4 linked regions of the Arabidopsis thaliana genome follow. The main gene of each other region encodes a partner of the protein of the gene in region 3 in a complex. Each region holds a gene or a part of one and is shown on either strand. Other genes may lie near its edges.

Region 1 (8,323 bases), on a different chromosome or scaffold from region 3:
TTGTCTAATTCATTAGGACATTTAATTTGCCAAAGAAAAACTTGGTTTTGGTGAAATTGTGATACTCAAAAGATTCAAGTATATCAAAATGAAACCTCTTTTTCCAATGCTATATATTCTCTTTGTGTTATGAAATGCATTATTTTTGTATCGACCCTTCAAATGATAATGACATTTGCATATCTTTCTTCGGTAGAGTTTGACATATTTGCATTTAGGAGAGACGACAATTAGAAGATTGAATTGTCAAGAATATGATTGACTCACCACGTAGATTACACTGAAGCCACAAGCACACTTTGTGGTGGTCGTCATTCTAATTCTTATTATGATCGTTTCACAAATATTCATGGACTCGAATAAATCCACAATTGTATACTAAGCATTATTCTAGGAAGGATACAAATTGATGCAAAAAATATTTAGATAAGAGAATGCTCTTAGACCACACAAAATGCTACCCATCATTTTCTTGTTTTCTTCATATAGTAAACACAAAAACATATACAAAGAAAACTGAACAAAATTTGAAGAGTTATTAAAATGGGGTGTACATCTTCCAAGCAAGCAAAAGCTAACGTCGTCGCCGACGTTTACAAACCACCGCCGTCTAGTTTCGCGGTGTTTGATGTCAACGCCATCCAAGAGCCATGGCTAAAATTTGAACATGAAGATGATGAGAAACCGCCACGCTCCACCGTCTTCGACCGTCTCGACGAGGATGATGATGATGATGATGATGATGGTGATGACGCTCCTAAAACATGGGAAGAAGTCAGCAAATCTCTAGAAACTAAACTTAAACCTGCCGCCGTTAAACCGCCGGAAGTAGACTCTGTTAAACCTCCGGCGACTCCTCCACGGCGGCTTCCGCGGAAGAGCGCATCGTTCCACACACTGGACGAGCTTGAAGTGAGGGCCAAAAGAAGCATCGCCGCGCAAATCCCGACGACAATGGTTAAGCTTAAGAGAACCGAGTCGATGTCCAAGCTAAGACCCGAGTCAGATGATCGAACCGAGTCCACTCAGTCGTCCTACTCGGGGCCTCGGTCAGTGAAGGAGAACATATTCGTCAAGAGAGACAGAGAACGGAGGGAGAAAGAAGGGAACAAGAAGCCGGTGATGAACTGGGACCCACTTAGGGAGTTCCCGGAGAAGTGTCCGCCGGGAGGAGGGGAAGGTTTGATTGTCTACACGACGTCGTTGCAAGGAGTGCGTCGCACGTACGAGGATTGTATGCGTGTGAGGGCCATCATGGAGCAGCAAGGAGTTGTGGTGGACGAGAGGGACGTGTCTTTAGACGCCGGAGTCTTGAGCGAGCTTAAGGAGCTTCTCCAAGACGAAGCATCAGTGGCGCCGCCGCGAGTGTTTGTGAAAGGGAGGTACTTGGGAGGAGCAGCGGAAGTGACAGCGATGAATGAGAACGGGAAGTTAGGGAGGGTGTTGCGGTGGGCACGTGTGGAGAGAGTAGGGGAGGAAGGGAGGCTCACGTGTGAAGGGTGCGGAGGAGCGAGGTGGTTGCCTTGTTTCGAGTGCGGCGGAAGCTGTAAGGTGGCGGCGGTTGGGGCGGCCAAAGGTGAAAGGTGGGAGAGGTGTGTCAAGTGTAATGAGAATGGATTGATTCGTTGTCCCGTGTGTTTTGTTAATTAAGAACATTATTAGTTTACACAAGCAAATAGAGGTGTGTCAAATATACTTTGTCCCGTTTGTTTTGTTATATGTATGTGACACGTTTGATTTTGTGGAATTGAAAATGATTTGAAACTATGCTAGGATTTTCATAAAATGTTAAAGCATGAACGTGAACCATTATAATGCTAAGCTTGCAAGGTCTCTCACTCGTATATGTTGATGGTTTTGATCAATTACGTAAAGGAGTTCAACAATCTCACTAATTTAAGTTTGGATCGTCAGAAGGTAAAAGCTGGCAAACAAAGTCACTTCTGCCTGAATACTTTACAAATTTGTTCTTTGTTGCTATTTTGTTTGATTGTTATGCATCCGTTGAGGATTTTGTGCTATGAAACAGAGTAATATGAATTCCATCATTATAGTAACTATGGCAAGTTAGTGTTAGTTAAAATCTTTTAATGAAAATGCATACAAGTATGCTTCTCAAACTTAGCTTTAAGAGTTTCTCACAGTTACATAAGAAAGCAGAGCAATGCACAAAAAAAGATACAAAAAAGATAGATTTACTTTTGTTCTTACAAAGAAACAAAAAAAGAATCTGACATTTTTCTCACATACACAATGTTCATGGTCTTCAGTTGTACTTCCTCTTCTTTATCTTGAAGGAAGATGATCGGATAATGTCATCGTCGGCAGTGAGAACGGTCTCGAGTGGAACTATTGATTCGGGTTTGGTGAAGTAAGTGAAGAGAAGGTAGATTCCATCCAAGTAAGTGTTGGTTTCTCCAGCTTTGTTCTTCTTTCTTATGCTGTAAGCCAACGGAATCACTCCTCTGTTAAACACTTCCACATACATTCCACCTCCTGCCACAAGCAACTGCCACACACACCAAAAAGAAATCCCAGCAACATAATGAATCTTTCAGAGTCTGCACCAACTAAAAACTTCCACTACTCCGAACATAAATTTCAGAATTCCTCATTAGATTAAACATGTGATATAGCGTAAAAGAACCCACGCGTAAACCACAAATGATAACTGTGTATTAGCTCGTTTCGAGCATCAAAGGACATTTCAAGAATTGAGTTAAAATGTTATGGTAAAACATGACTAAAAAACTAAGAAGTGCACTAAGGGCTCCTATCTTGTTTCAAATGGTTGAGACTTAAAGAATTCACAGCCCACAGAAGGATGAGATTTGCTCTTAGAAAGTTAAACTCTTTACTTCAATTTTAACAAGGAGTCGTCACAAACATTCAATTGATAGCTGCAAGTTACACAACTCTACATTGAAACCATTTTCTCTTGCTTTGTCATTAACGTGTAAGAACAGACACAAGATACAACTTTTAGTGATCTCTTACTCAACTTCTAATTGAATCCTAAAATCTCTTTCTCTCTCAAATAATCAAATTTCCCTCTGACATGAAACAGAAAACAGGTAAAGTTGGAGACTTTTACTTACCTCTTCGTATTTCTGGGTAAGACCAAGCCGTTCATCTTCAGACATGTCTGGTCTCAAAACCGCCATTGTTTCGTACTGCCTGAGCCCAGGTGGGCACTGAGGTTCCGGTTTGTCTTCAAGGGCAGTTGAGACTCCCGACCCGGAAGGAGAAGTCGGGTCATCATCCGACCCGAATCCACCTTCAAAGAAAGTTCCAGAGAAGTCAAGAGCCTGAGATTTCACCACAAATTGAGAGCCATCTCTCTTCTGTATCGAGGCACACATAGGTTTCGACTTGGAAATGAATGGCCTGAGAGAGTGGGAGAATGATAGCAGCGGCTGCGAAGATACATTAGGCAGAGGGCAAATTGTGGAATTTGATACACACAGCGAAGACGCCATTGTTGTGAGATTGTGAAAGCAAAGAGGAGATGAGAGAGTAAAATTTGGATAAGAGATGATGATGGTACACATTAGTCAGAATTCTATTGTACACCATGGGCCTTTTTAGGTTATTGGGCCTGTTAAAGGCCCGTTTTGTAAAGACAATTATTTCTATCTGTATTATTTGTCTTCGCGATCAAGCCAGTTCTCGGAGCAATCAAATCTATAAGAAAAGAATCGTCGCCGGTGAAGAGAAAAAACCATAGAAGCGATGGATCCGCAGCTAACTGAAGTTTCACAGCAGTTCGAGAGATTCAAGGCGGCGTTTGCGAGGAAGGATTACAATACCTGTAGCGATCTGTTGTCTCAGCTTAAGGTCTACATCTCTCTCTCTTCTTTGAACCCTAATTTGTTTCAATTCACTTCTTTGCATATCTGCTTATTGAACCAACTTTGGGAAAATTGATGGGTTATGTCGCGAGAGTTTAAATCTATGAGAGCTTTGATTTATTGAAGTGAGAATTTTTAGCATATAAGTGTGTTAAGGATCTTTTAGAAGAGCTAAGTGCTATGAAATTTTTAACTTTCTACTTTAAGGGATTGTTGGGATTGGTTTAGATTTACAATTTACTGGTGCGAGTCTCTGATGTCGCTGGGGTTTTGTTGTGTTCTTCAGGTTCTTCTTACCAAATTCACAAGTCTTCCTCCATTGTTCGAGAATTCACCTAATGCAGCCAAGGAATTGACTATTGCAAGTAAGTTTCTCTTTTTCATTATTGGTTTTACATGAGCTATTTGCTAGTAAGTTTAGAGTTTTGCTTTCAATTGCATGGAGTGTTTTGGATTTGTCTATTCTCATGAGTTATTTGTTAACTATACTTAAATACCACTGAAGAGTGTCTGAGGGATTGTACTGCTTTAGTTTGTCTGTCTATCCCTATATGTATACATTAATCGTTGAATGCTGCATTGGTTTGGATTGAGTTATTGGTAATTTTTGTTCTTATTGATTATCCGTTTCTAAAACTTTGACAATTGGTGTATTCTAGGGGACATTTATGAGCATGCTGTTGTTCTAAGCGTCAAAACCGAGGATCAAGATGCTTTTGAGAGAGATTTCTTCCAGCTGAAACCTTACTATGTGGATGCCAGGTAAAGAAAGAACCAACTGTCTGAACATTATCTTTTTCATTTTCTTTTGGTCTAACATATCTTCTTTTCCTCTGCACCAGGAACCGTATTCCTCAGTCTCCACAGGAGAATCTTATCCTGGGTCTTAACCTTCTGAGGCTGCTGGTACAAAATAGAATTGCTGAATTCCACACCGAGCTTGAATTACTTTCATCAGCTACACTAGAGGATCCTTGCATCAAGCATGCAGTAGAGCTTGAGCAATCCTTCATGGAGGGTGCCTATAACCGTGTGTTGAGTGCTAGACAGACCGCGCCTGATGCAACTTACGTCTATTTCATGGATCTCTTGGCAAAGACCATAAGGTAGCATCAATGAGTCTGTCCTTCTCTGAATTAGTTCAGTCTTATGTCTTCTCGCGTGTTATCTCACCTTTTTATTGTTATGACTGAATTCACAGAGATGAAATAGCTGGATGCAGCGAGAAAGCTTATGATTATGTCTCTATCAGCGATGCCCGGCAGATGTTGTTGTTCTCTTCTGATCAAGAACTCTTAACCTATGTCACAGATGTAAGAGAAAAAACATTTTGTGCAAAGTTTAGAATCTTTTTTAGTTTCATGAACCATTGACGCGATTTAGGTTTTATCAAATCTTATAGGAGCATCCTGAGTGGGAAGTGAAGGAAGGGTTTGTTGTCTTCCAGAAAGCCAAAGAAACTGCACCGTGCAAAGAGATTCCGTCTCTGCAACTCATCAACCAGACTCTAAGCTACGCCAGAGAGCTGGAGCGTATCGTGTAAGATTCGACTTTTCTCACTGCTTGTCTCTTCTCTTCTGTTATGTTCCTGGAAATCTCTGGGTCAGAAAACTTTGTTATCATGTAATGACCGATATTGAGCGACTCAGTATTTTCTCCGGGTCAATGAGACTTTGTTGTGATATCAATCTGTTTTTCCATATCCTTTTACGTTATATTCTATTGTTTAGTGTTCACTCGTTTTCAATTGGAGACTCTGTCCTCCTCACTTTGATGCTTTGCTTGAACATGATGTCCATAATTCTAGGGGTGTTCAAAACTAGGTATAGTTTGGAATTCAGAGTTACCGTGGTCCGGGATACTCAATTTCGGTTTGGTTTGCGGTGGAATGTTTTAGTTCAGTTTGGTTATTTGAATTTGGGTTTGGTTTAGTTGTGGATGAAAAGGACAGATTTGGAGAGCCTCTAACGTAGTGTAGCCGGGGCCTTCCTTCCTTTGATGAACAACCTAGTCCAAATATGGAAGAAGGAAGGAAGGATTGTCATTACAGAACAAGGGACACACAATTGTCAATTGCCAAACACTCATCAACTTGAAACAAGTGGGGATTTACGTTGCAAGCATTTCTTCTCCTTGGGGTTAAAATATTGATTAACAGCTAAATAACAAATTAGGGAAGTTATTATAACATTAAAAGAAAGAATAATCACGATTAGATGTCCCCACTAGGAAAACAAGTTACTGTTAATAAAAATTTTATGTATTGCAAAAGGGCTTAAGTAAGGATCCACTTTGGGTAAGTAGTTGAAAATGGCTGAGTAAGAATAATCACGATTAGATGTCCTCGCTTTTTTATTCATCTCCCAAAGCGAGATTCGTTTTTTTCATTGTCGTCAATTATTGCATTGTTTATCATAATTATTTGCTAAGAACATCATTATTATTGAATAAATTATAGTAGTCGTTGTTATTCTACTCACCCACAACACGCACTTAGTGCCTAATTACGTCTTAATTTAATATTTTTTAAAGCTTTTAGGCGCATAAAATATGCTATGACAACTTTGTTCATGGTGGTGGACGTGTAAGAAACGTCTAAAGATCTACTCTATATAACATAATCAATTCGTTTTTTGAAATGTGATAAAAACAAACCTTTACCATATATTCGCCTCTGGCAGAAACAATGCATTTGGAATAAAATAGAATCGTATCACAGCATTTAAAAACGATTATTCAAATAGTCTAATAGTATTTATTCACACCTTTATGTTTTATGTATATCGAATTTTGTCAAAGCCAATATTCTAGAGATGGTCAATCAATATCAATACAGTTTTTTTTTTTGGCCAATGTTCTAATATTCAAGTTTGTTAGTATTAATAGAAAAACAAAATTTCGATGCCTTTTGTCTCATAAAAATATTAAAGAAAATAATACAAAGAATAAAGAATTTGCATGAAATGGGAGATATTCTAGTGGTTGGGGTAAAATGGTACAGCGTGGAATCAAATGTCTTCAACAAAATCAAATTATTTTATCTCAAAAAGATTTAAATCCCAATTTAAATAATATTACAACTTGTCTTCTCCTCTTATTTCTTCTCTCTCTCTTTCTGTTGAAGAAGCTGAATCAGAAGAGTTTTTTTTTGCTTCAAAAGGAGCTCCGGCGAAACTTCCGGAGATATTAACACTTACTCTGACGAGTTTTTGTCTCGTCTTACGTCTTTGCTGCTGCTGTTGATGGAACTTGACGACTTGGATCTCAGCGGTTCTTGGCCGTTAGATCAGATCACTTTTGCTTCAAATTTCAAGTCTCCTGTCATTTTCTCTTCCTCCGAACAACCTTTCTCTCCTCTCTGGTCCTTCTCCGAAACTTCTGGAGATGTCGGCGGCGAGCTTTACTCCGCCGCAGTAGCTCCCACTCGCTTCACCGATTATTCCGTCTTACTCGCTAGTAAGTCTTCATGCAAAGTTTAGATTCTAGAATCCAATTCAGATAATGTAGTGAATATGCTTCAATCTCTGGATAGTAATATTCTCCTTCATTGGAATCTTATTGGAACTTCACGGATTAGTAGAATTTAGATCTGGAATTTATAGAATCAAATGAAATGCAGGTTCTGAATCTGAAACCACGACCAAGGAGAATAATCAGGTTCCTTCTCCGTCATGGGGTATAATGCCTTTGGAGAATCCAGATAGTTACTGTGCCATCAAAGCCAAGATGACTCAAGCGCTTAGATACTTCAAGGAATCTACTGGACAACAACATGTTCTTGCTCAGGTTTGGGCGCCTGTCAAAAACCGTGGTCGATATGTTCTTACAACTTCAGGACAGCCATTTGTTCTTGGTCCCAATAGTAATGGCCTTAATCAATACAGGATGGTTTCATTGACGTATATGTTTTCCCTTGATGGTGAACGGGACGGAGAGCTCGGGCTTCCTGGTCGCGTTTTCAGGAAAAAGTTACCTGAGTGGACTCCTAATGTGCAGTATTACTCCAGCAAAGAGTTTTCAAGGCTTGGTCACGCCTTGCACTATAATGTTCAGGGAACTTTGGCTTTGCCTGTTTTTGAACCATCCAGGCAACTCTGTGTAGGAGTTGTCGAGCTTATTATGACTTCTCCGAAGATTAACTATGCTCCTGAGGTTGAAAAAGTTTGTAAAGCGCTTGAGGTTTGCCCTTGTTTTCTCCTTCTTTTTTTAGGGTTCTTTATCAGTTTCCTTTGATCTTCCCGTGACATTGTTGTTTTCTCTTGTGTTGCAGGCCGTGAATCTGAAAACTTCGGAAATATTGAACCACGAGACTACTCAGGTTATCTGCGAGTCCAATGTCAAAAATCTCGAGTATTCTTTCAGAAACTTTCAAGAACTGTCTTGAGTTCATTTAGTGCTGTTCCTTCTCGTTTTGACTCCATTTCTTTTTGACTTCTCCTATACCAGATCTGCAACGAGGGTCGCCAAAATGC
Region 2 (7,409 bases), on a different chromosome or scaffold from region 3:
GCTGCGAGAGGAAAACAAAGCCATGAGGGAGTCTTTTTCCAAGGCTAATTCCTCCTGCCCCAACTGCGGAGGAGGCCCCGATGATCTCCACCTCGAAAACTCCAAACTGAAAGCCGAGCTCGATAAGCTTCGTGCAGCTCTTGGACGCACTCCCTATCCCCTGCAGGCTTCATGCTCCGACGATCAAGAACACCGTCTCGGCTCTCTCGATTTCTACACGGGCGTCTTTGCCCTCGAGAAGTCCCGTATTGCCGAGATTTCTAACCGAGCCACCCTTGAACTCCAGAAGATGGCCACCTCAGGCGAACCTATGTGGCTCCGCAGCGTTGAGACTGGCCGTGAGATTCTCAACTACGATGAGTACCTCAAGGAGTTTCCCCAAGCGCAAGCCTCTTCGTTTCCTGGAAGGAAAACCATCGAAGCATCTAGAGATGCGGGGATTGTGTTTATGGACGCACATAAACTTGCCCAGAGTTTCATGGACGTGGTACTTTTCCATTATTTATTACTGTTACCAGCTACTATAACTTATTCTATGTGTATAAAAAGGAATTGATGTGTACGTGTAACGCGCAGGGACAATGGAAAGAGACATTTGCATGCTTGATCTCAAAGGCTGCAACGGTCGATGTTATCCGGCAAGGCGAAGGGCCTTCACGGATCGACGGGGCTATTCAGCTGGTGAGTACTCATCAATATATACATATAGTGATAATTGATGAATGACGACTCAGCTGATACATGGGATGGATATGGTTTATAACTATTGTGGCAGATGTTCGGAGAGATGCAGCTGCTCACTCCGGTCGTCCCCACAAGAGAAGTGTACTTCGTGAGAAGCTGCCGGCAGCTGAGCCCTGAGAAATGGGCAATAGTGGACGTCTCGGTCTCCGTGGAGGACAGCAACACGGAGAAGGAGGCTTCTCTTCTGAAATGTCGAAAACTCCCCTCCGGTTGCATCATCGAGGACACCTCCAACGGTCACTCCAAGGTCACCTGGGTGGAGCACCTCGACGTGTCTGCATCCACAGTTCAGCCTCTCTTCCGCTCCTTAGTCAACACCGGTTTGGCCTTTGGGGCTCGACACTGGGTCGCCACCCTTCAGCTCCATTGCGAACGCCTTGTCTTCTTCATGGCTACCAACGTCCCCACCAAAGACTCTCTCGGTCCGTCTATATATCCGGATCCTCCATTTACACTCTCTATCTTTCTTTATATATAACCTTTTCACTCCTCTGTTGATAATCAGGAGTTACAACTCTTGCCGGGAGAAAGAGTGTGCTGAAGATGGCTCAGAGAATGACACAAAGCTTCTACCGCGCCATTGCTGCATCAAGCTACCATCAATGGACCAAAATCACCACCAAAACTGGACAAGACATGCGGGTTTCTTCCAGGAAGAACCTTCATGATCCTGGCGAGCCCACGGGAGTCATTGTCTGCGCTTCTTCTTCGCTGTGGTTACCTGTTTCTCCAGCTCTTCTCTTCGATTTCTTTAGAGATGAAGCTCGTCGGCATGAGGTACCTTGTCAAATTCACACACATTTAAGCAAACAAGAAAAGCGGTTTCCACTCATATATTTATCTAACGATACATATCATCAGTGGGATGCTTTGTCAAACGGAGCTCATGTTCAGTCTATTGCAAACTTATCCAAGGGACAAGACAGAGGCAACTCAGTGGCAATCCAGGTGCGTTTATTTTGTCTTCTCCTCCTCTAAATCTGTCTAGGCCTTGATAATCTGAATTTCTATACATTTCCAGACAGTGAAATCGAGAGAAAAGAGCATATGGGTGCTGCAAGACAGCAGCACTAACTCGTATGAGTCGGTGGTGGTATACGCTCCCGTAGATATAAACACGACACAGCTGGTGCTCGCGGGACATGATCCAAGCAACATCCAAATCCTCCCCTCTGGATTCTCAATCATACCTGATGGAGTAGAGTCACGGCCACTGGTAATAACGTCTACACAAGACGACAGAAACAGCCAAGGAGGGTCGCTCCTGACACTCGCCCTCCAAACCCTCATCAACCCTTCTCCTGCAGCAAAGCTGAATATGGAGTCTGTGGAATCCGTGACAAACCTCGTCTCAGTCACACTACACAACATTAAGAGAAGTCTACAAATCGAAGATTGCTGATGACAAGTCACAGCAGATATTATTTACCTATATATAATTATATGATAATGTATAGCAGCAGTGCATTAAAGTTTTGTACAAAAACGACCAGCTCTCTCTTCTCCAATCCTATTATTATCCAACACCTTTTTGGTCCATTCCATTGGCAAATGAACCATAACAAGAGGAGCAAGAACCGTAGAATTAGCAGAAACAAAAGTCGGATCACTGAGACCACAAGCACACAGTAGCAACAGAAACATATTAATTCACATTCTAAATGTAACTGGAGGTGAAGATGAAGTAAGAGCAAACAATTGGTAGTCGGAAACAATCAGATTGAAAACACACTCATGGCATAAGCAATGAAATCACAAAAGCATTCCATAAATTACACTGGTTCCGGGATACACAACAAACAAACAGAAGCAGAGCAAAAAAAAGACGGCTTTACCAAAAGAAACAAAGAGCAATCATTCTCTACGCCGGCTGCTGAGACTCCAAGGGAAGGCCAAGGAGTTCATCTCCTCCGGCTTCGGCTTTCCTGGCGGCCCTTGCGATGACAGGAAGCGCCACAAATGATTTAGTCTTACTGATGGGTCTGCTCTTTTCCAGTCTGACCACGTCGCCAACCTTGAACTGATTATCGGGGTCGTGAGCTTGGTACTTCTTCTTCATCCTCACGCGCCTCTTGTACTTGGGGTGGGGAGCCAGCCTCACCACCTCCACCGCCACAGTCTTGTCACTGGTTGCGCACACCACGCGCCCCTGCATCGTTTTCATGGCTCTGATGACCGGAACTAAAGCGGGCATTCTGTGGTTCGGGAAGGAATTGGGCTTAGAGAGAGATGAGAGAGGAGTGGAGCCATGGGCGAACGGAGACGAAAGCTTGAGAGCTTGCAGAGATGAGGTTAGGGACGACGTTATCATCCTTCCGATTTGGAATCGAATCGATGAAAATGAAGATAAGGTGAGTACTACTACTATTTAGAAGGGATGTATACAGTATACAGATGGTAAATGGGTTTTACAATAAACTGGGCCTAATCTTAAAAGCCCACCTTTTCATAAAAAGGAATTTACAAAAGCCCTTTTGTAAAGTTTTTGAATCCTAAAAATAATTAAATAATCAATAAATCTGTCTTCGCTCTTTTTTGCGCCTAATTTTCCACACAAATATCAATGCCGTGCCGTTGGACTCTTGACACCGCCTAGGGTTTCGAGGTATGAGGTCTTCTTGGTCGTGACGACGCTTAGCTTCTCCTTTATCAACGGATCATCCGGTAGATCCTTCTTCGACTCCAATTCGGCGTTCGCGGCCTGATCGAAGTCCCATCCCATGAAATCCGACAGCGTCATGCTCCCAACCAGCGTCTCTTCCTCTGCTTCCAATGGCGTGTTCCTCTTGTTCCCCGCTCGATCTGCCTCTAAAACGTCATCGATTCTGGAAAGTACCGTGTAGGCCAAGCTTTCCAGTATTCTCGAGTAGCTCTCCAGCACCGCCTGGCCCACGTCCTCGTTGAACTGGATTTTGCTGATGTCGAGTGAAGATTGAGAAATCCCGGGGTATCTTTGCTTGAGAATGAGCAAAATGGTCTCAGCTCGCTCTTCGAAGACCTCTCGCTTCTCCAGACTTACTCCGGAGGCCCAGGGTGCCGATGATTTGTTGTCTTTATAAACCATTTTGCGTTTCCATATAATGATTGATGCCTCGATTCTGTTTTTGAGGTCCACGATCTTGTGCTCCGACGACATGTCCATGCTGCTCAGGAACTGGTCCGGGTCAAAGAAGTCCACCGTTATATTCTTGTACATCTGATCCCCGAGACTCGCCCTCCCGTTCTGTTTATTTATTTATTACAAACTAAACAAGTGAGTATTATTCTTCATCAACTCTTCTAATCAATAACATCAATTGTTGGTGTCTTTTTTTTTTTTTACCTTTGGGAGAGAGTCGATGTAGCTCTCAGGTATCTCCATCTCGAACAAAACCTGTGCGTTTATGGCCATGGCTGCCTTTAGAACCTGGTTTACACAATCTTTCTGGTACTGCAAAAACCTTCTTGAAGCTTCTGATAGACCATCTGGTGGAACTTTGACGGTCGGAATCCACCATTTTTCGTCGTTTCTCTTACCGTCTAAGTCAGGGGAGTCTTTTGAGATATAGCTGAACTCGCTTTGGTCCTTGAAATTTTCTAGACAATCCTAGGTAGAAAAGGGGGATAAGAGGATGCTTTTGAATATCCTAAATGAAATTATTAAAGTAGGGTTGATATTTGGTCAACGAGAGAGAGAGAGAGAGAGGTCTTACGATGAGCATGGCGTCCAGTTTCTTCAATGCGGGGATATTCATGTGGAGGTCAGTACGTTGGCGTGTGGTCATTATCTGTTAAATCAATACCAACAGAATAAGGGAATCATTGTATGTTACCAAATGAAATATAATGCAGCAGCAGCAGCAGATAGACAACCTCCATATTGGTCCCATCTTTATTTTTCTGCTGAGATGGAGCAAACTCAACCACGTAATCGGTCACGGAGAGAAGCCAATCAATCTCTTTTCTCCATCTTGCTCTTCTTTCTGCAGGCATTGGCTCCAAGCGCCGTTGCTCTCCGAACACGGAAGCTATACCAACAAGATAAACATGAGATATTGGTTGCTGGTTAATATAAACTAAGTGTAATAACAAAAGAGGGTCCTAAAGCAACCTGCAAGGTTTGTGATTGCGTTTGAAAGGGCGAGAGCAGAGGATACTCCTTTGCCTCCACCGGAATTGTCCTCTCCCAGCAACAGCTTGGAGAAGCGCTCTTTCATCTGCTCCATGTCTGCCAAAAGCTGCCTTTCTCTAGCCTGTGAGGCGGCGAGGGCGGCGAGGACTGCTTCATCCGCAGCCGATCTTGAAAGTGGTGGACCCTGACTAGGATGAATAATGGTCAATGGTTCAGCGTCATGGGATCCGGTGGCAGCCTCATCTAAACCGGTCTCGACGCTGAGACTCTTGTTGTGTCTCGTAGCACTATTGTTGTCGTTGTTCCTCCATTTGAAATTGAAGAGCCTGCTCCTATAGGTTTCCTGTTCTTGTTCCGAAGCACGAACCATTCCTGGTCTCTTGATGGCAATAGAGAATTAGAGAGGAGAGAGAGAGAAAGAGAGAGGATCAAATGGGCCTCTCTTGAGATGGGGAGAATCAAAAGGGAAGGAGAAGCTAATCGAGCCGCAAAACAATAAAGGGTAATTGTTACAGTGATTTTGGCTTTGAGAAAATTGTGGAGCTTTCTTCTTTTGCTTCCTTTTTTTGGAAGATGGGACGTGGGGCGCATGTTTCAGACCACACCTCTTAATTTTAACTAATCATTATTTAGGATTTTGAACATTGATAATTAGAGATAGAGAGCCGTTTAAATTATAAAATGTTATCATATAGTAACATACTAAAATGTGATTACACCCTTGTCACTGGATTCCCTAAACATGCAATGTCAACGGGGAATCTGCTACGTTTCCATACACATACAGTGTATGTCTTCTTGTGTTTGTATCATGTTCATGAATCCTACAACAATTTGCATGAATATCATCAAACGTGCAATGTTGTCTTTAAACATAAGTCATGATTTCGGAACCAAGAGGAAAACTTGAAAAGGGTCATTTAGTGGCCCATAAAAAGCGGATAATATCAATTATGGGCCCAAAAATAGGCCCATCTTTATCGTCAACCTCCGATAAATTATACACAGACCTCTCACTGACTCAATCATTTGCAGAAGAAAAATAAAAAAAAAAAACAGAGAAAAGGAGATATGGAATCAATCGGAGTCCTTATGATGTGCCCCATGTCCTCCTACCTCGAGAACGAGCTTGAGAAGCGCTTCAACCTTCTTCGCTTCTGGACTTCTCCGGAGAAATCCGTCCTCCTAGAAACTCATCGGAACTCCATCCGCGCCGTCGTTGGGAATGCTTCTGCCGGCGCCGATGCTCAGCTCATCAGCGATCTGCCCAACCTTGAGATTGTATCCAGCTTCAGCGTCGGGCTCGACAAGATCGATTTGGGGAAATGCAAAGAAAAAGGGATCCGCGTCACCAACACCCCCGACGTTCTCACCGAAGACGTCGCAGATCTCGCCATCGGGCTTATCCTGGCTCTCCTTCGACGGCTGTGTGAGTGCGATCGCTATGTAAGGAGCGGAAAATGGAAGCAAGGTGAATTCCAACTCACTACCAAGGTTTCTACTTCTTACCCACTATTGATTGATTGGAAAAGAGCTCTCTGCCCTATCTTATCTTTGGTCTTCTATCTCTGCTTTAGCGTCACATTCTTTCTTTCTTTTGGTTGACTCAGTTTAGTGGAAAATCCGTGGGGATCATTGGTCTAGGTAGAATTGGGACTGCCATCGCAAAGAGGGCTGAAGCCTTTAGCTGCCCAATCAATTACTACTCAAGAACCATTAAGCCTGATGTCGCCTACAAGTATTATCCGACGGTGGTTGACCTTGCTCAAAACTCAGACATCCTCGTCGTCGCATGCCCGTTGACCGAGCAGACCAGACACATTGTGGACCGGCAGGTCATGGATGCATTAGGAGCTAAGGGCGTCCTCATAAACATTGGCCGTGGACCACATGTTGATGAGCAAGAGCTTATTAAAGCTCTAACAGAAGGCCGCCTAGGTGGGGCTGCCCTTGATGTGTTTGAGCAGGAGCCTCACGTGCCCGAGGAGCTCTTTGGCCTTGAGAATGTAGTTCTCCTCCCTCACGTTGGGAGTGGCACTGTGGAAACACGGAATGCCATGGCCGATCTTGTCGTGGGTAACTTGGAAGCGCACTTTTCTGGGAAATCACTTCTGACTCCGGTCGTCTGAGTCATGTGACACATTTGGGATTTGGTTTCACTTCATTTGAAAGGTTTTTATGTTAACGAACTCATGAAAAGGGTAATTTCTCTTCCAAAAGAAAGTTGCACTGTCGTATATAAGGAACGGATTTGAACACTAGGCGAATCCTCTCCGTTTTATGTCTCTTACTCATCTTTCTTTTCACAAAGTATTGGTCTAGTATACGAGTGGCGCATACGGCAATACGTCAAGTCATTAACCATCCCAGACCAAAAAACGTTTACAAAACTACTCATAGATGTCAGTCAAGTGAAGCAATATCTATTTTGTTGAGAATCAGCTGAACCTAAAAAAACGTAGAGAAGAGGATGACATAAAACAAAACCCAAAACTTTAATTAGGGCTCCTTTCGGGCCTTCTTGGTAGGTTGCACGTTTTCAAAACACTCATCT
Region 3 (8,132 bases):
AGAAAGATAGGGTCACAAGACATTATAGTAGCTAGCTTTGTAGTTCGATTTTGTATTTTTCCCATGATTCTTATTAACATGGCAAAACAAAAAGAGATAAGCTTCACTCATCTTTTAACAATCTCTTCGTTTTTCGTGGCTCACTCATCTTCACACCACACTCCTATATATATACCCCCTCTTTCCTCCGATAGTGAGAGATAGAGTCGATAATTATGGAGAGAATAACGACCTTATGGTTTTGGTTTAGTCTTATGATTTTCTTAGGAATCTCTATCAATGGAGGTTTGTCTCAAGGACAGCAACATGTTATGAAGAAGACACGTTCTTCTGCAGTTGTAGTAGGAACTGTCTACTGTGACACTTGTTTTAACGGCGCCTTCTCGAAATCACCCAACCACTTAATCTCAGGTCTGGTTTCTGATTTTTGTTTTTTTTTCCTCTTGCAGTCTTGCTCGTGTTTTCTTGGTAACACTACTTGGAAAATAATGTTTTTTGGATTCTAGAACAGAGCACTCTGTTTTGGAAACTTATAGGGTTTTTTCTTGTTTGTGGGTCTAAAATCTTAGAAAGAATTATGAAAAGTTTTGTGGATCTTGTTGCAGGTGCTTTAGTTGCAGTGGAATGCATTGACGAGAACTCGAAACCGAGTTTCAGACAAGAAGTGAAAACAGACAAGCGCGGCGAATTCAAAGTGAAGCTACCATTCTCTGTGAGCAAACATGTGAAGAAGATCAAGAGATGCTCTGTGAAGTTGCTAAGTAGCTCACAGCCTTACTGTTCTATAGCTTCGTCTGCTACTTCTTCTTCTCTCAAACGCCTTAAATCAAACCATCATGGAGAGAATACTAGGGTTTTCTCTGCAGGGTTCTTCACTTTCAGACCCGAAAACCAACCAGAGATTTGTAGCCAAAAACCTATCAATCTCCGCGGTTCCAAGCCTCTTTTACCGGATCCTTCATTTCCTCCACCGCTCCAAGATCCTCCTAATCCTTCCCCTCTCCCAAATCTCCCTATCGTTCCTCCTCTTCCAAACTTACCTGTTCCAAAGTTACCTGTTCCGGACTTACCTCTTCCTCTAGTTCCTCCTCTTCTTCCACCAGGACCTCAGAAATCAGCTTCCTTGCATAACAAGAAATCTGATTCCTTGAAAGACAAGAAAACCGAAGCACTAAAACCCAATTTCTTCTTTCCGCCAAACCCGTTAAACCCGCCATCTATCATCCCTCCAAACCCGCTCATTCCTTCTATCCCAACCCCTACTCTCCCTCCAAACCCGCTTATTCCTTCTCCCCCAAGTCTCCCTCCAATCCCACTAATCCCTACTCCCCCAACTCTCCCTACAATTCCGTTACTTCCTACTCCCCCGACTCCTACTCTGCCACCGATTCCAACAATTCCGACTCTTCCACCTCTTCCGGTTCTTCCACCTGTCCCTATCGTGAATCCGCCTTCACTACCGCCACCACCACCTTCTTTCCCTGTTCCGCTCCCTCCGGTCCCTGGACTCCCTGGCATCCCTCCGGTCCCTCTTATCCCTGGAATCCCTCCGGCCCCTCTCATCCCGGGAATCCCTCCTCTTTCACCTTCCTTTTCTAGTCACCATCAACCCTAAATTAGCAATCCTTTCCTTACATTTCCAATTATGTAATCTATATGTATCATCCGCTTTAAATTGTTACTTTTTTCCTCTGCATTTTCACTTGTTGGCTTGTTGTCATTTCAATAAATATTGTTTACTATGGAGTTTTTATCTTGCTGCTTTTGTTACATCAAAAGTCAATTTAAAAAACAAATGGCCCATTTTGACTTCATTAAGAGATTCGGAAACTTTTTGTAACTATCTAAAAGAATAAGTACCTTTTCGTAATTATCACATTTGTTTTTCTATGGGTGATTATATTCAGTTCCAGTGAGTGACTGGATCTTATAAAAAAAAACTCAAATTCAAAATTATCCGATCTGATTCTATGGCTGAGACATTCAAGATCCGAAAACTGGAGATCTCCGATAAGAGAAAAGGATTCATCGAGCTTCTAGGTCAACTAACCGTCACCGGATCAGTAACAGACGAAGAATTCGATCGGCGATTCGAAGAAATCAGATCGTATGGTGACGACCACGTGATCTGCGTGATCGAAGAAGAAACTTCGGGAAAAATCGCTGCTACGGGTAGTGTGATGATAGAGAAGAAGTTTCTGAGGAATTGCGGTAAAGCTGGGCACATTGAAGACGTTGTTGTGGATTCAAGGTTTCGCGGGAAACAGCTGGGGAAGAAAGTTGTTGAGTTTCTTATGGATCATTGCAAATCAATGGGTTGCTATAAGGTGATTCTAGATTGTAGTGTGGAGAACAAAGTGTTCTATGAGAAATGTGGGATGAGTAATAAATCGATTCAAATGTCTAAGTACTTCGATTAAACGTTCATCATGATGATGATGATGATCTTTTGTTTTCTTGTTTTGAATTCGCCATTTTAATGATAGAAGTTTTTTCGAGTTTCGATGATTACACAGAGGACTAATGATAGACTAAACAACACAAAAGCTTTAGACTTTGAAAAGTTAATGATACCTATGATAAACAGATATATCTGGTGAATCCAAATCAAGACAAATCTCCACCGCTTGATTGCCAAAGATTGATGATGTCTGTAGCTTGGTTAAGGAGGAAGACACGATGAAGCTCAGAGATCCAAGGCTTGCTCTCTAACAAAGTTTTGAGCTCTTCCCAAGCATCTTTCCTAGGCCAGAAGTAGTATGGACTAAGTGGGATTGTTCCAAATCCTGGAATCATATGGTCTAATGCAACTCCTATGTCCTTTTGCATCCATACAAACTTCAGTACCACCTTTGGTTTCTCTAGCGGCTTCACTAACACACGCATCTTCTTCTGCAATATAAGATGACGATAACAAGGGAAGAATCATACATCTCTACTTCCTTTCACAAAAGTTTTCACAATGAAGCAACATAAGGGAGGTTTAACACTAGCACACACTGCCTCTTCTACCACAATTAAATAGATGGAGACAATACATTTGGTTTACCACATTTTCGTTCAAATGACAAAAAAAGGCTGCAACTTTGTCTAACAAGCTTATAACCCCAATTTGTTCCAAGAGAAGTTTTTTGACGATGACTGACCTTTCCAAGTGGCGGAGATTCAGATTCTGGTAGTTCATGAGAGAAGGTAAGATTGGAGGGGGGATATGCGAATATTCCGGGATTGATACAGGAGTGTCTCGCCGGAATTTGACCCTGATTCCAAGTAGAGCACGAAAGCGATGGTCGAGAAGAGGGTTTGAGCTTCGTCGATAGAGAGATATGAGCTATGGGTTTCGAAGAGAGCTTCTGAGAAGGTGAAGCTGTTCTGAACCCAAAAGAAGCACTCTGATTTGCTTGAACCGCCATTTCAGCTGCGTTTGAAGCTTCTAAGCGAGCAATTTTATTTTGAGAGACCGGGGAAAGCAAAAACACAGGTTTTGCGATTTTCTGGTCGGGTCGGGTCGGATCGAATCAAACGGGTTTTGTAATTTGAAGTGTCAAATAATAATTAGATTTAATATTTTATGTTCATCCATTTCTGTGGCTCCAACTTATACAATTTGACGATAATATGAGTTAGATTCAATATTTTCATGACATTTGTTTTCAAGTTTCTTCTTGCAAATAGATCGAAAGTAAGATTAAAGACAAGGGAATAGTAGCACATTTGCATATTCAAAAATCCAAACAAACCCTGCAATAGTAGTAGCAGTGAACCTTTTTTGGCTTTTACAAAACATCAGTCTTTTTTAACTTCCTCAAAGCTAAGCAAGCATGTCATAATCATCCAATGTGTCATTGTACTCAAGAACCTTTCGTTTAATCTTGGATGAATCAACCCAAGTGATGAAATCTTCCATGTTCCGAGTTACTAAGAAAGCTGGATCAGTAATTGTTTCTGGTCCTACACGAACGTGTCCTTGCTCTATGTATGTCACAGCTTCTTTGTGGTGCTCTGCAAACTTCAGGTGAACCAGCACAGTAGATAGCCTACGCCTGCAAATAAAAAAAAAGAACCGATATGAGGCAAACGAAATGAGAACATTTGGCTATCAAGGGTTTAAGTAACTGCCTATATAGGCTCTTGCATATACTCTTACCTACAGAAGGATGAAACTGATAACCGCTCAGTTAGAGTCAAGCTTTTCCTAGTCGGTATAACACCCATGTTATATCTGCCGTTTCAAGCGTACATGTAAGAAACACAAGTCAGTCAGCCATTAAGAGAACAAGTTTTCTCATTGCAGAGTGGAACTACGCAATCAACAAGTTTCAGTAGGATGGCTCTTTTTCCCTATACAATAAGCCTATATTATATAGTAACTTAGCTCTATGTAGAAGCTATTCAAGAAACAGATTCTGAAAGAAACCCATTAGATCACACATTTTACCAGGATGAATTCAACCTCTAATGGATTTCAAACCAACGGTCCTAAAATCTATATAGAAGCATAAGGACCCCCAATTTTAATTATCTCTAAAAGTGGTTAACAAGAAAAACAACAGGAGGTCTCTAAGATAAGATCGGTGTAAAAAACTGCAGAAAATGATCAAGTCTCATGTTCTACGACCTAAATCTAGAGAAAACAAAGAACCATTGCTTGTAATAAGCTCTATACTTGAACAAACTGGTATATATATTTAAAAAACTCACAGCTTCTCCAAAAGCATATCAGTCATCTGAATACGAAAAGGATCTGCTGGATCCATTTGTTTCATTATATTCGTCAGTTTCTGCACCATCCTACACAATCCTGAATACCTGCCCAAAAGAAAAAACATTCTCAAGAATCAGAAAAAGACCATTGTTCATCACAAAACACTCGAACCAGAAGAAGAAGAATAAGTAGAACAGAGCTTTAAGAGCAAATAAAGGTACCAACTTTTTGTAATCATCACGAGAGCCCATGTGGTATCGATACGTAATCTCGTTTTCCCGATGGTTACCTTCTCTTTTCCATTCTAAGAAATTTACTTTCTTTATAAGCTTCTTCTCGTGATACTTGAGCTTTCTCATCTCGGACGGTACTGATGATATGCAAATTATACGAAATTAGGGTTTATTTGTCCAATAATTCAGATTTGAAATCCTGAATAATCATAAACCCTTGAACATTCTAATGGGAACAACATAGGATTTATCAATCTCTGTACAATTAGTCTATGAGTAAAATTGAAGTAGTTTACCTGAGAGAGATTAATCGGCGCGGGATAGAGTAAGGATGAAGAAATAATCGGCGATGAGGTTCTTGGGTTTGAGCTGAAAGAAAATGCTGGAGAGGCTTAAACCCTAATTGGCAGAGGAGTAGTAATTCAGAAACCCTAATCGAAGGAGAGGAAGTCAGATAAATCCGACGGTCCCTATCCTCTGTTTGATTGTAACTTGTAAGGCCTTAGCATAACTAAATCTTGTTGAGTTGAGCCTTTTAAACTTCTCATTATGGGCCTGAGAAGCCCATGTAGATTTTACCTTAATTATGGGACTAGACTAGGAAACGGATTTACTAAGGGTGCTTTGAATGCAAAATCAATTCGCTACGTTAAAAAAGATTATTTGGAAGTTCTAAGCATAAACAAGCATCAAATCCATTGGAAGCAAAATATATAGTTTTACTACATACTATGCAATGGAAGTAATTGTATGTGAGGTCGCATGGAAGTGATTGTAAAGCATTGGATGATCTTCTCTATTATCGATCGGAAAATGCAGCTAATAAGGGACCCTTGATTGATATAATTGACAAACGGGTGATCTATAGGTTAAAAGAATTAAGTTTTATAGAAAGTAATAAAGGGTCCCAATTATATTACACTTGTTACACAAAATGCATAATCTACTAGAACTCTCGATAACGACCAAAATTTCAAATCCAATGCACACGTATATACATACACGCATGCGCACGAATGGGCTTAAAAGTTTAGAGTGTTAAGATGATTGAGCCACCGACACCGAGTTTCGTGGGGATATATAATAATTGTTGATTTCCCTTTTTTCACTATATATTTTGCGTTTAAGCTATCTTCAAAGTTATTGGTTTCTTTACCAATACGTGTTTGTTTGTTCTATTTCAAGCAAAAACATAATCGCAGAAACGTCTCCTTTATTTGTTTTGTTCTTTTCTTAATTCTGAATACTTGTGTGTAAGTTTTGAAATATAAATATATCGTTAATGCTTTGTTCTGTTACTTTACCTTTCTATTAATATCAAGTAACTTTTAGGACGAAGATGTTCATTTAATGTTACTTAAAATACGTAAGCATTAAAATTTGTGAATTGCAATTTTGATTAAATATATAGACTGAAATAGAAATGACCCATTTGATTAAAACTACAGATATTTACACGCTTTTCTCTCTGTTTTCTTCTTAAACTCTTCGTTGAAATGACAATTACAGTTATAGAAAAATCTTAAAACTCTTAGATTTTTTCCATTGGAGAAATGTATTCGTATTTAGAAAAATAAATCATTAAGTTCCGACAGCAGTGTAATGTCCGATGTCGGTGGAATGTATATGGTCATAGAAAATAACGTACATTAATTCGCTCAATAAGTAACTCATCTCTAATCAAATTCTTCTATCGTCAAGTGAAAAGAAATAAATACTGAATTACATTGGAGATGCTTTCAAGTCATTACGTGACAATTGGCCTTTACTTAAATTTCCAATATTTATCAATCGATGTTACACGCACGATTTGATATAAATAACAATCATTTTCGAATAGCAAACATGAAGGAGATTGATCTAGATTTTTGGACCGAACATCGTCTATATATTGATATATATTGGCTGATATAATGCTGTGTTTTAAAACAATAACCTGTTCATAACCTCACATCTACACGTGTATCTTTTTAAATTGTCTTCACGAATGACAAAAGAAAACAAATCATTCAATTTGATCTTTCATTGTTTCTAAACTTGGCCGGCGAGCGAGATCATTGCTTAAAGCTTTATTAAACTGCCGCTACAGCTAGACATCGTGGTTAGTCACTTTCACATGTTTAATGAATGAGTTTTTTTAAACTAAAAAAATAAAAATAAATTAAATCTGTTAAATCAGAAAATTTAGTTGATAGGTTTGAAATTTCAATTTTTTTTTTACTTCCTCAAATTTTATGATGTAATAGGCGACATATTTATATTTGTTTTATATATAATGGATAGGAAAAAAAAATTATCAGTTGATTTACCAACGATTTGAAAATAGTATAATGAATGTATATATATATACTTGATAAAAACATCTACGAGACTACGAGTGTTTGTTGGCTTGTGTACTTTCTTATAAAGAACCATATCTAGATTGATTTTCTTGATTTTAAAATATTTAGAGGTACATTAAAAAAACTTGTATATTTCTAGAGAGACTACTGAAAATTTATTAAAATATTATAAATTGAATATCACCAAAATCTAATTTATATTTTAAAACTCATAAATAAATAGAATGTGATTTTAGCCAATTTTGTAAAATAAAATATGAACAAGACAAAGTTGTGGTTAATATTTTTCTTAAAAACTATGAACAAGACAAAATTGTGATAAAATTTGAAAAGCAAATAAAACAAATCCAATTTTAAAAGACCATCTTCTATTAATGGCTGCTTTTATAAAAAGTTTAAAATGTATCTATTTATGTTGGTTACTTGGTTCATGACGAAACATATTAATTCCTTCTTATGTATTCATCCATTTGTTTCCTATAAATATCCTTAGATCCAATTTTCACCCTAAAAAAAAAAAACATACTAAAAAATGCTCAATCTTTTCTTCTCTCAAAATTATACATAATGCTTCTTTTAAATATACTCATTATCATACTGTCGAAATTTCGAATAACATAATGCTGAAAATGTTAGTTCAGTCGGCTCGGGGCCAGATTTATACCATACTTCAGTCGAAATCAAGGTAACAAAGCTAGCTTAAGTTTTGATCTAATGTTTTGGACCTTTTTATCGTTTAATTCTTTTTAATCAATAAACATAATACACTTCCACATACTTTTCTATATTTTATTTTAGATTGACAAATGACAACTGTGAGCAATAAATAGAGTTGGTCCATCCATATATATT
Region 4 (7,212 bases), on a different chromosome or scaffold from region 3:
GTTTAATATTCTCTTCAATATAAAAATAAAAAAATATTGAAGAGAATCTTGAAGAGAAGTAATTCAGAATTAGCCGGTTAGAACTAATCTAAACCAGCCCATTATTTATATGATTCCGTATGCCAACCATTAAACAACTTATTAGAAATACAAGACAGCCAATCCGAAACGTCACGAAATCCCCAGCGCTTCGGGGATGCCCTCAGCGACGAGGAACATGTACTCGGGTGTATGTGCGACTCGTTTAGATCATAGACTGAGACATAAAAAGGAAATTCTTTTTGAAATATCACGGATCAGTACCTATGAATAAAATAGAATGGACGAACTCGATTCATTATTTACAAAATATAGATCGTTCATATACTCTATTGTGTCTGAAACTTATGGTTTACATTGGTGCAAATCCAATCAACTCCATTTTTTAGAAAACCCCCAATGATAACAAATGAGTATCCATTAAGCGGGGGAAATTCCATTTTTTAGAAAAAAGATTTCACTCTTGAAAGAAAAGAACGGACTAACAGGGTAAATGACCTAATCAATTTTCAAAATGAAATACCGTTACTGTATAAAGGGGATCTCATTGTGAAAGACCTATTACTGGAATATTCATGGGGTAGAGCCAAAGAATGTGAATTGTACAAGTTACCAATAGTATTGATTAATTAAAAGAAGGAGCTCCGGTGTATAGAGAGGACCTCACCGTTTTAGAAGTAACCATAGAAACGATGGAACCCACTATTTATCCAATTCTATTTACTACGTTTTGTAGTTATTCTATTTTTTTATATCAAGGCCTTTCAAAGTAAAGGAAAATACCTAGCAAAAAATAGTGGTGGGGAAGGTTAGAGTAGCAAAAGCCATTGGAATTTTTTTTATACATTGGAATAATTCGTTTGGTTATTAATAGACTAGTAAAGGGGAAAAGAATAACTAAAAAAAGAATTAGTTATTCATCAAAGTTTGATTTATTCAATGACTAGAATTAAACGCGGATATATAGCTCGGAGGCGTAGAACAAAACTTCGTTTATTTGCATCAAGCTTTCGAGGGGCTCATTCACGGCTTACACGAACTATGACTCAACAGAGAATAAGAGCTTTAGTTTCGGCTCATCGGGATAGGGGTAAAAGAAAAAGAGATTTTCGCCGTTTATGGATCACTCGAATAAATGCCGTAATTCACGAAATGGGGGTATTCTATAGTTATAATGAATTCATACACAATCTATACAAGAAGCAATTACTTCTTAATCGGAAAATACTTGCACAAATAGCTCTATTAAATAGGAGTTGTCTTTATACAATTTCGAATGACATAAAAAAATAAGGGGATTGGAAGAAATCCACGAAAATATTTGAAATAGAGTTCTAAGGAGAATGAGCTCGGGGAAGGTAGAGTAGAAATTAGTATTAAAAAAAAAGTCGTCAAAACAAAACGAGAGTATATAGTTTCGAAAAAACGAGTTATGCTTTTCGACGATTCTTTTCTTTTTTTTTTTATAATAGACACAGACGTAACAATCAAATTTTTATTCTTGATTGGATTTTTTGAACAAAACATTAATCTCTTTTTTAATTCCTTCAGATTGGAATTGTTATTCAATTGAAAAATAAGTCTATTTTTTTCTGGTTCTAAGACTAGTAGTTCTAGGAGTCGACTCACTTCTTTCAAATTGTTTCTGATTATTAAGAAAAGGTAACAAAGATAAAATACGAGCTTGTTTTATAGCAATAGTGATTAATCGTTGTTGTTTTAAAGTCACTCTATTCACCCGTCTAGATAATATTTTTCCTTGTTCACTAATAAATCGACTAATTAAACTCATGTTTCTATAATCAATTCGATCCCCCGATTGGATCGGGGGCAAACGCCTACGAAAAGATCGCTTGGATTTAGTAAAAAGTCGCTTAGATTTATTCATAATTTTTATTTTTATTCCTTATCTCTAAAATCCTATTTTGATCGGATCAAAATAAAAACGATTTCTATTTCTATATAGGATAGAATTTCTATATAGAATTAAGAATATCGGATTAGATTTCTTTCTATTGATTTATTTGTTTATATTTATATATATGTAATAATATATAGATACTAGCATTATTCCTGTTCTTAAAATAAAAGTTGACATACAAGCACTCAATTTGATCTATTTCTTGATTTCCCCGTGAATTGTATGTTTATAACAATAGGGACAGAATTTTCTCAATTCCAATCGACTAGGGGTGTTATGCCGATTCTTTTGAGTAATATATCTGGAAATTCCCGCGGCTTCTTTCTTAATATCATTTCGAACACAACTGGTACATTCCAAAATAATTGTTACTCGAACATCTTTACCCTTGGCCATGAAACCTCCTTTGGATTTATGATTCACCTCAATCTTCTATTTTAATTTTAGGATCCAGAAAGAACAAGAACAAAAAAAATAGAAGCTGTTAACTAAAAAAAATTCTGAAATATTTCGTTACAATTAATATTTTATTTATTAGTAATTAAATAAAAAAAATAAGTAATACAATGATTTATGATTTTGTGAAAACTATATTTAAAATCTTTGTACAGTAGTTTTTTTAAGTATCTGATAGGTTCCCTAGCAACACTTTTTTTCGTTCTATTACTAATTTCATTGGATCCTGAACCCTCGTTTTTATGACCTTTCCCCCCCCCCCCCACCTTTTCTAATTTATTCTACTAATTAGAAAAGGTGGGGGGGTTAGTCCCCGATTGTTGATTGTATCTCTAAATTTTTCACCCCTTTCTGATGTTAATAACTAGAATGAAAAAAAGGGAAATGTTAATGCATCTGGAAATAAACGATTAATCTCTATTAATAAACCTGCTAACGAACCGAACCATAGAGTACTTAGTACCGGTGCTACGGAAAGATATGTTTTTAGATCTCGCATTAGAAATCCTCCTTCTTTCTTCTTTATTGTATTACATTATATATAGTAATATATATAATTACAGATGTACATGTAATTAAGAAGTTCTTGTATTTGTATATGTAACTTCCGTCCCCCCGCTTTCAAAATTAGAATTTTAATATTGTCGACTAGAACGATCTTATCGATTCCATTTGAAAACGTAAAGGCCTATTTATGTAAAATTGAGAGAATAAAAAAAAAAAAAAAAGTAAATTTTTTAATTATATCTTTGTTATCTGATATGAGAAAAAAAGAAGAAATGAATTTGATATACCAATAAAAAAGAAGGAGGATGTGGAAAACAAGACAGGAATTCTCTACAATGACACTGTAAACCTATTGAAAGGGATGTAGCGCAGCTTGGTAGCGCGTTTGTTTTGGGTACAAAATGTCACGGGTTCAAATCCTGTCATCCCTACCTATTACTGCTCAGAAGAGCAGTAACGAGGTATCTATTTTGATCAATTTTTTTTATCGGACATACATTTAATTCTGAAATTTATGATATACTATGTATGATATAGTATATACGTACAAAATCGAGTCGGGTTAAAGAATGCCCTCTTTCTAGCCTTTTCGTTTTTTAGAAAAAAAAAAAAAGAAAAACGCTCTTAGTTCAGTTCGGTAGAACGTGGGTCTCCAAAACCCAATGTCGTAGGTTCAAATCCTACAGAGCGTGATTTCATAGATTGTATCAAAATTCCACTGTTCACAAATTACTGAGCAGCAGTCTGAATTAGACCTCCCGCATAGGAAAGCAAGAAGGAGGTTAGTAAAAAAACGAGATGTTAATTAATTAAAAGTCCAACTGATCACCACGTCTGTATTGTAAATAAGCAGTTACGAATAATCCAGCCAAAGTAATAGGAATTAGACCTAAGACGATTCCAAATAAAAAAACTTCAATCATTTGAATTTTCTTTTGTTTTCATTTTTGAAAGGGAGAAAAGAGAGGTACTATCTATTCCTAGCTCTTAATCTGTATTGCCAATGAATCTCAATGACCAAAATTTGGTAATTAACACGGTAAGGAACTATCGAACATATTAATAAATACCAACGAAATCCTTTTTTATAAAAAAATCTGCATTCAATTAATTTCAAATAAGTCGTATTTTGCTTAGACCAATAAACAGAACTGAGGTTATAGTTAAAGCTGCTAGTAGAAAACCGAAATAACTAGTTATAGTAGGCATGAAGGGACTCAATAAAATATGTTTTTTTATACATATGTTTCTTAAAGTACTTCCCTAAGTTTCAATTGAAATTTTTTTTAAGAAATAGAGAAAGATAACTAGTTCCAAGAATTAAAAAAATTCAATTGAAAATTTGTGAATTATCAATCATTATAGGTGGTATGAAAAAAAATAGAGAAAGATAAAAAGAACTCAATTCATCGTCTTTGGCATCTGCACTATCTCAGGAGTCAGAATTAACGTAACTTATTAATTGAAAAACTCTTTAAGAAATTAATCATAAAAAAAAATAATACATAAAAAAAATAACTCTATTATCTAACTTCAGTCAAAACATATAACTTTTTTTGAATGAATATGTAAAAATTTGAAAATAAGTTGTTTGATTCTTTTTTTTTATTGACCTTAGAACCTAGAATACGCCTCTTTCTACTTTATTAAAATTGAATTTACTAAAATTTAAACTCATTAGATTAAATTAAATAGTAGAGCAGTTTTCTTCATTTAATCTATCGAATGAGACTAAAAAGAAAAGAGGTATCCTACACGGAGAACGAGATTAGTAAAAAAAAAGATTTATTTATTTTAACTAGATTTTAAACGATAACTAGATTTTTAAAACTTGTAATTAGCAATTTCTATTATCGTTTCCTTTCGAGGTTTTAGGTTTTTTTCTTTCGAGATTATATAGAAAATAGAGTGAAAAACCCATCACCCTTGTAGTTAGTTAAAGAAAGAAAAAAACCTTTGAATTGTGAATTGAATACAACAAAACAATGCACGCATTACAAATATTTAGTCTTTTTTTATTATTTTTATTTGTTGTTCTTTTTAATTGATCCAATCCAATCCAAAACTATTGTTCTTTTTCTTGTTTCTGCAAATTAATTCCTTAAAATGAAACAAAAAGTAAAAGGGGGGATCACATTATCATAAAAAAATCTATTCTACAATTATGCATATGCAATGAAAATGAAATTTATAAATTTTTCATTCAATTAACTTGGGACCATATGAAAATTTGCTTCATGAATTATTAGAATTAGAAACCAACTTCTTGGATTTTCATTTTATCTAATCTTTAGTTTATTTTCTAGTCCAAAACGAATAAAGGATCAAAGCCCCTATAGATTACAGTAATTTGAAAAAGTGGGACACGGTTATACATCGACAAGCAAGAAAAAAAGAAATTATGTAACACCCCATTTCTATACTAATTCAAATTGCGTTGCTGTGTCAGAAGAAGGATAGCTATACTGATTCGGTAGACTCTAAAAATACCCTTGGTACTTTATTGACGATCTCACAAAGATGCAATCTCAGTGAATTTTAATTTACTTATTCATCTTTTACAGAATCGATTCCCTACGAGAATATCTGGAGTTCAGTATGTCTGGAAGCACAGGAGAACGTTCTTTTGCTGATATTATTACCAGTATTCGATACTGGGTCATTCATAGCATTACTATACCTTCCCTATTCATTGCGGGCTGGTTATTCGTCAGCACCGGTTTAGCTTACGATGTGTTCGGGAGCCCTCGTCCAAACGAGTATTTTACAGAGAGCCGACAAGGCATTCCATTAATAACAGGCCGTTTTGATCCTTTGGAACAACTCGATGAATTTAGTAGATCTTTTTAGGAGGACCCAATGACTATAGATAGGACCTATCCAATTTTTACAGTGCGCTGGTTGGCTGTTCATGGACTAGCTGTACCTACCGTTTCTTTTTTGGGGTCAATATCAGCAATGCAGTTCATCCAACGATAAACCTAATTCAATTATAGAGCTATGACACAATCAAATCCGAACGAACAAAGTGTTGAATTAAATCGTACCAGTCTCTATTGGGGGTTATTACTCATTTTTGTACTTGCTGTTTTATTTTCGAATTATTTCTTCAATTAAGAAAAGAGCGTAGAATAATAAAATAAAAAATAAAGAGTAGTAATTTTATTATCCCATTCGGATGGATTATATATAATAATTATCTCTGACTGTTTATGTTTCTAGCATGACCACTCGATTAAATGTGGAGGGAAGCGGGATAAATGGCTGATACTACTGGAAGGATTCCTCTTTGGGTAATAGGTACTGTAGCTGGTATTCTTGTGATCGGTTTAATAGGTATTTTCTTTTATGGTTCATATTCAGGATTAGGTTCATCCCTGTAGAAATTGGATGAGCTGAGTTATAGACGTGAAAACATAAGAACTCAACGGGGCCCAACTCTTCCTTCTTTGTCTGATTCGAGGGGGTCCCGTTGAACTGCTAATAATCAGAACAATTTTTTATCGTGTTTTTGAAAAATGAACTTAACTAAATTAGTATATTATGAACATATAGTATTTTTTAATCTTTCAAAGATAGAATAAAAAAGGGGAATCACTTCATTCCCTTTTCCTGCTTCCCCGGCTGACACAATAGTTTTTATCATTAGATCTATCATTAAAATTTAAAATTTGGTCTATACTATAATAGAATCGAAATAGAAGTTTTTTCTGATTTTATTTATTTAGTATTTCATCAAAATTGAAAAAAAAAAAAAGAAAACTACAAAAAGTAACTACTATAATATATATATATATATGTAAACTAAGAATAGGAGTTTTTAACGAATTGAATCAAGAAGGACAAGATCGACACAAGAAAAGGATGTCTAAAATTCCTTTTCTTGTGTCGAAGACTAGCAAGACAAAAAATACTCCCTATAGTCCCTAAAACTTGTTGTTTCGCCGATTTATGGTTCCCCTTTTTTTCGGCGCGTGTGTTCCTTATCTTATTTTAGTATCTAGTCAAATTTTGCCATTTGACTAGAAAAAAACTCTTGATTATTGATACATTCTATCAATTTCAATTGGTCAATAACGACAGAGTTACATCACACCCCTTCTCATTTTTCAAATTTTTATTGAAAAATAAATAAAGGGGGGTAAAGTGAATTCTTCTCAATATACATACTAGTATTAGGACTATGATATAAGTAATTCCTGACATCTAGTCGAAAAGGAATAGCAAATCTAAAGAGAGGCAAAAGGTTTTCATAATTTTTTGTTCTTTTTTACGAATTTGATAAAGCT

The links.
Region 1: PSRP3/2 (region 3) and AT1G64510 share a complex: the UniProt entries of both Arabidopsis thaliana proteins name them as parts of the 30S ribosomal subunit.
Region 2: PSRP3/2 (region 3) and RPS17 share a complex: the UniProt entries of both Arabidopsis thaliana proteins name them as parts of the 30S ribosomal subunit.
Region 4: PSRP3/2 (region 3) and rps18 share a complex: the UniProt entries of both Arabidopsis thaliana proteins name them as parts of the 30S ribosomal subunit.

The regions. Positions count from the first base shown.
Region 1 is NC_003070.9:23,952,727-23,961,049, forward strand, and holds AT1G64510 (Translation elongation factor EF1B/ribosomal protein S6 family protein), read right to left. Parts: upstream 3,579-8,323; 5' UTR 3,552-3,578; coding exon 3,099-3,551; intron 2,510-3,098; coding exon 2,267-2,509; 3' UTR 2,077-2,266; downstream 1-2,076. Other genes in the region: AT1G64500 (Glutaredoxin family protein), read left to right, coding at 544-1,650; RPN12a (regulatory particle non-ATPase 12A), read left to right, coding at 3,733-3,837, 4,138-4,216, 4,511-4,613, 4,694-4,957, 5,053-5,164, 5,254-5,394; AT1G64530 (Plant regulator RWP-RK family protein), read left to right, coding at 7,094-7,307, 7,471-8,030, 8,122-8,169, 8,298-8,323. UniProt on the Arabidopsis thaliana protein: Binds together with bS18 to 16S ribosomal RNA.
Region 2 is NC_003070.9:30,038,868-30,046,276, forward strand, and holds RPS17 (ribosomal protein S17), read right to left. Parts: upstream 3,086-7,409; 5' UTR 3,056-3,085; coding exon 2,606-3,055; 3' UTR 2,376-2,605; downstream 1-2,375. Other genes in the region: GL2 (HD-ZIP IV family of homeobox-leucine zipper protein with lipid-binding START domain-containing protein), read left to right, coding at 1-487, 577-681, 776-1,166, 1,250-1,521, 1,606-1,692, 1,766-2,146; ROPGEF12 (RHO guanyl-nucleotide exchange factor 12), read right to left, coding at 3,305-3,967, 4,067-4,330, 4,437-4,511, 4,597-4,751, 4,835-5,225; AT1G79870 (D-isomer specific 2-hydroxyacid dehydrogenase family protein), read left to right, coding at 5,927-6,349, 6,466-6,984; La2 (RNA recognition motif (RRM)-containing protein), read right to left, coding at 7,355-7,409. UniProt on the Arabidopsis thaliana protein: One of the primary rRNA binding proteins, it binds specifically to the 5'-end of 16S ribosomal RNA. Required for optimal plastid performance in terms of photosynthesis and growth. Required for the translation of plastid mRNAs.
Region 3 is NC_003076.8:5,138,381-5,146,512, reverse strand, and holds PSRP3/2 (Ribosomal protein PSRP-3/Ycf65), read right to left. Parts: upstream 3,524-8,132; 5' UTR 3,414-3,523; coding exon 3,147-3,413; intron 2,893-3,146; coding exon 2,608-2,892; 3' UTR 2,421-2,607; coding exon of another isoform or gene 1,971-2,420; 3' UTR 1,907-1,970; downstream 1-1,906. Other genes in the region: AT5G15780 (Pollen Ole e 1 allergen and extensin family protein), read left to right, coding at 216-411, 606-1,615; GNA1 (glucose-6-phosphate acetyltransferase 1), read left to right, coding at 1,971-2,420; AT5G15750 (Alpha-L RNA-binding motif/Ribosomal protein S4 family protein), read right to left, coding at 3,812-4,043, 4,148-4,222, 4,702-4,809, 4,931-5,064. UniProt on the Arabidopsis thaliana protein: Component of the chloroplast ribosome (chloro-ribosome), a dedicated translation machinery responsible for the synthesis of chloroplast genome-encoded proteins, including proteins of the transcription and translation machinery and components of the photosynthetic apparatus.
Region 4 is NC_000932.1:62,632-69,843, reverse strand, and holds rps18 (ribosomal protein S18), read right to left. Parts: upstream 1,928-7,212; coding exon 1,622-1,927; downstream 1-1,621. Other genes in the region: rpl20 (ribosomal protein L20), read left to right, coding at 979-1,332; rpl33 (ribosomal protein L33), read right to left, coding at 2,156-2,356; psaJ (photosystem I subunit IX), read right to left, coding at 2,781-2,915; petG (cytochrome b6/f complex subunit V), read right to left, coding at 3,733-3,846; petL (cytochrome b6/f complex subunit VI), read right to left, coding at 4,037-4,132; psbE (photosystem II protein V), read left to right, coding at 5,522-5,773; psbF (photosystem II protein VI), read left to right, coding at 5,783-5,902; psbL (photosystem II protein L), read left to right, coding at 5,924-6,040; psbJ (photosystem II protein J), read left to right, coding at 6,184-6,306.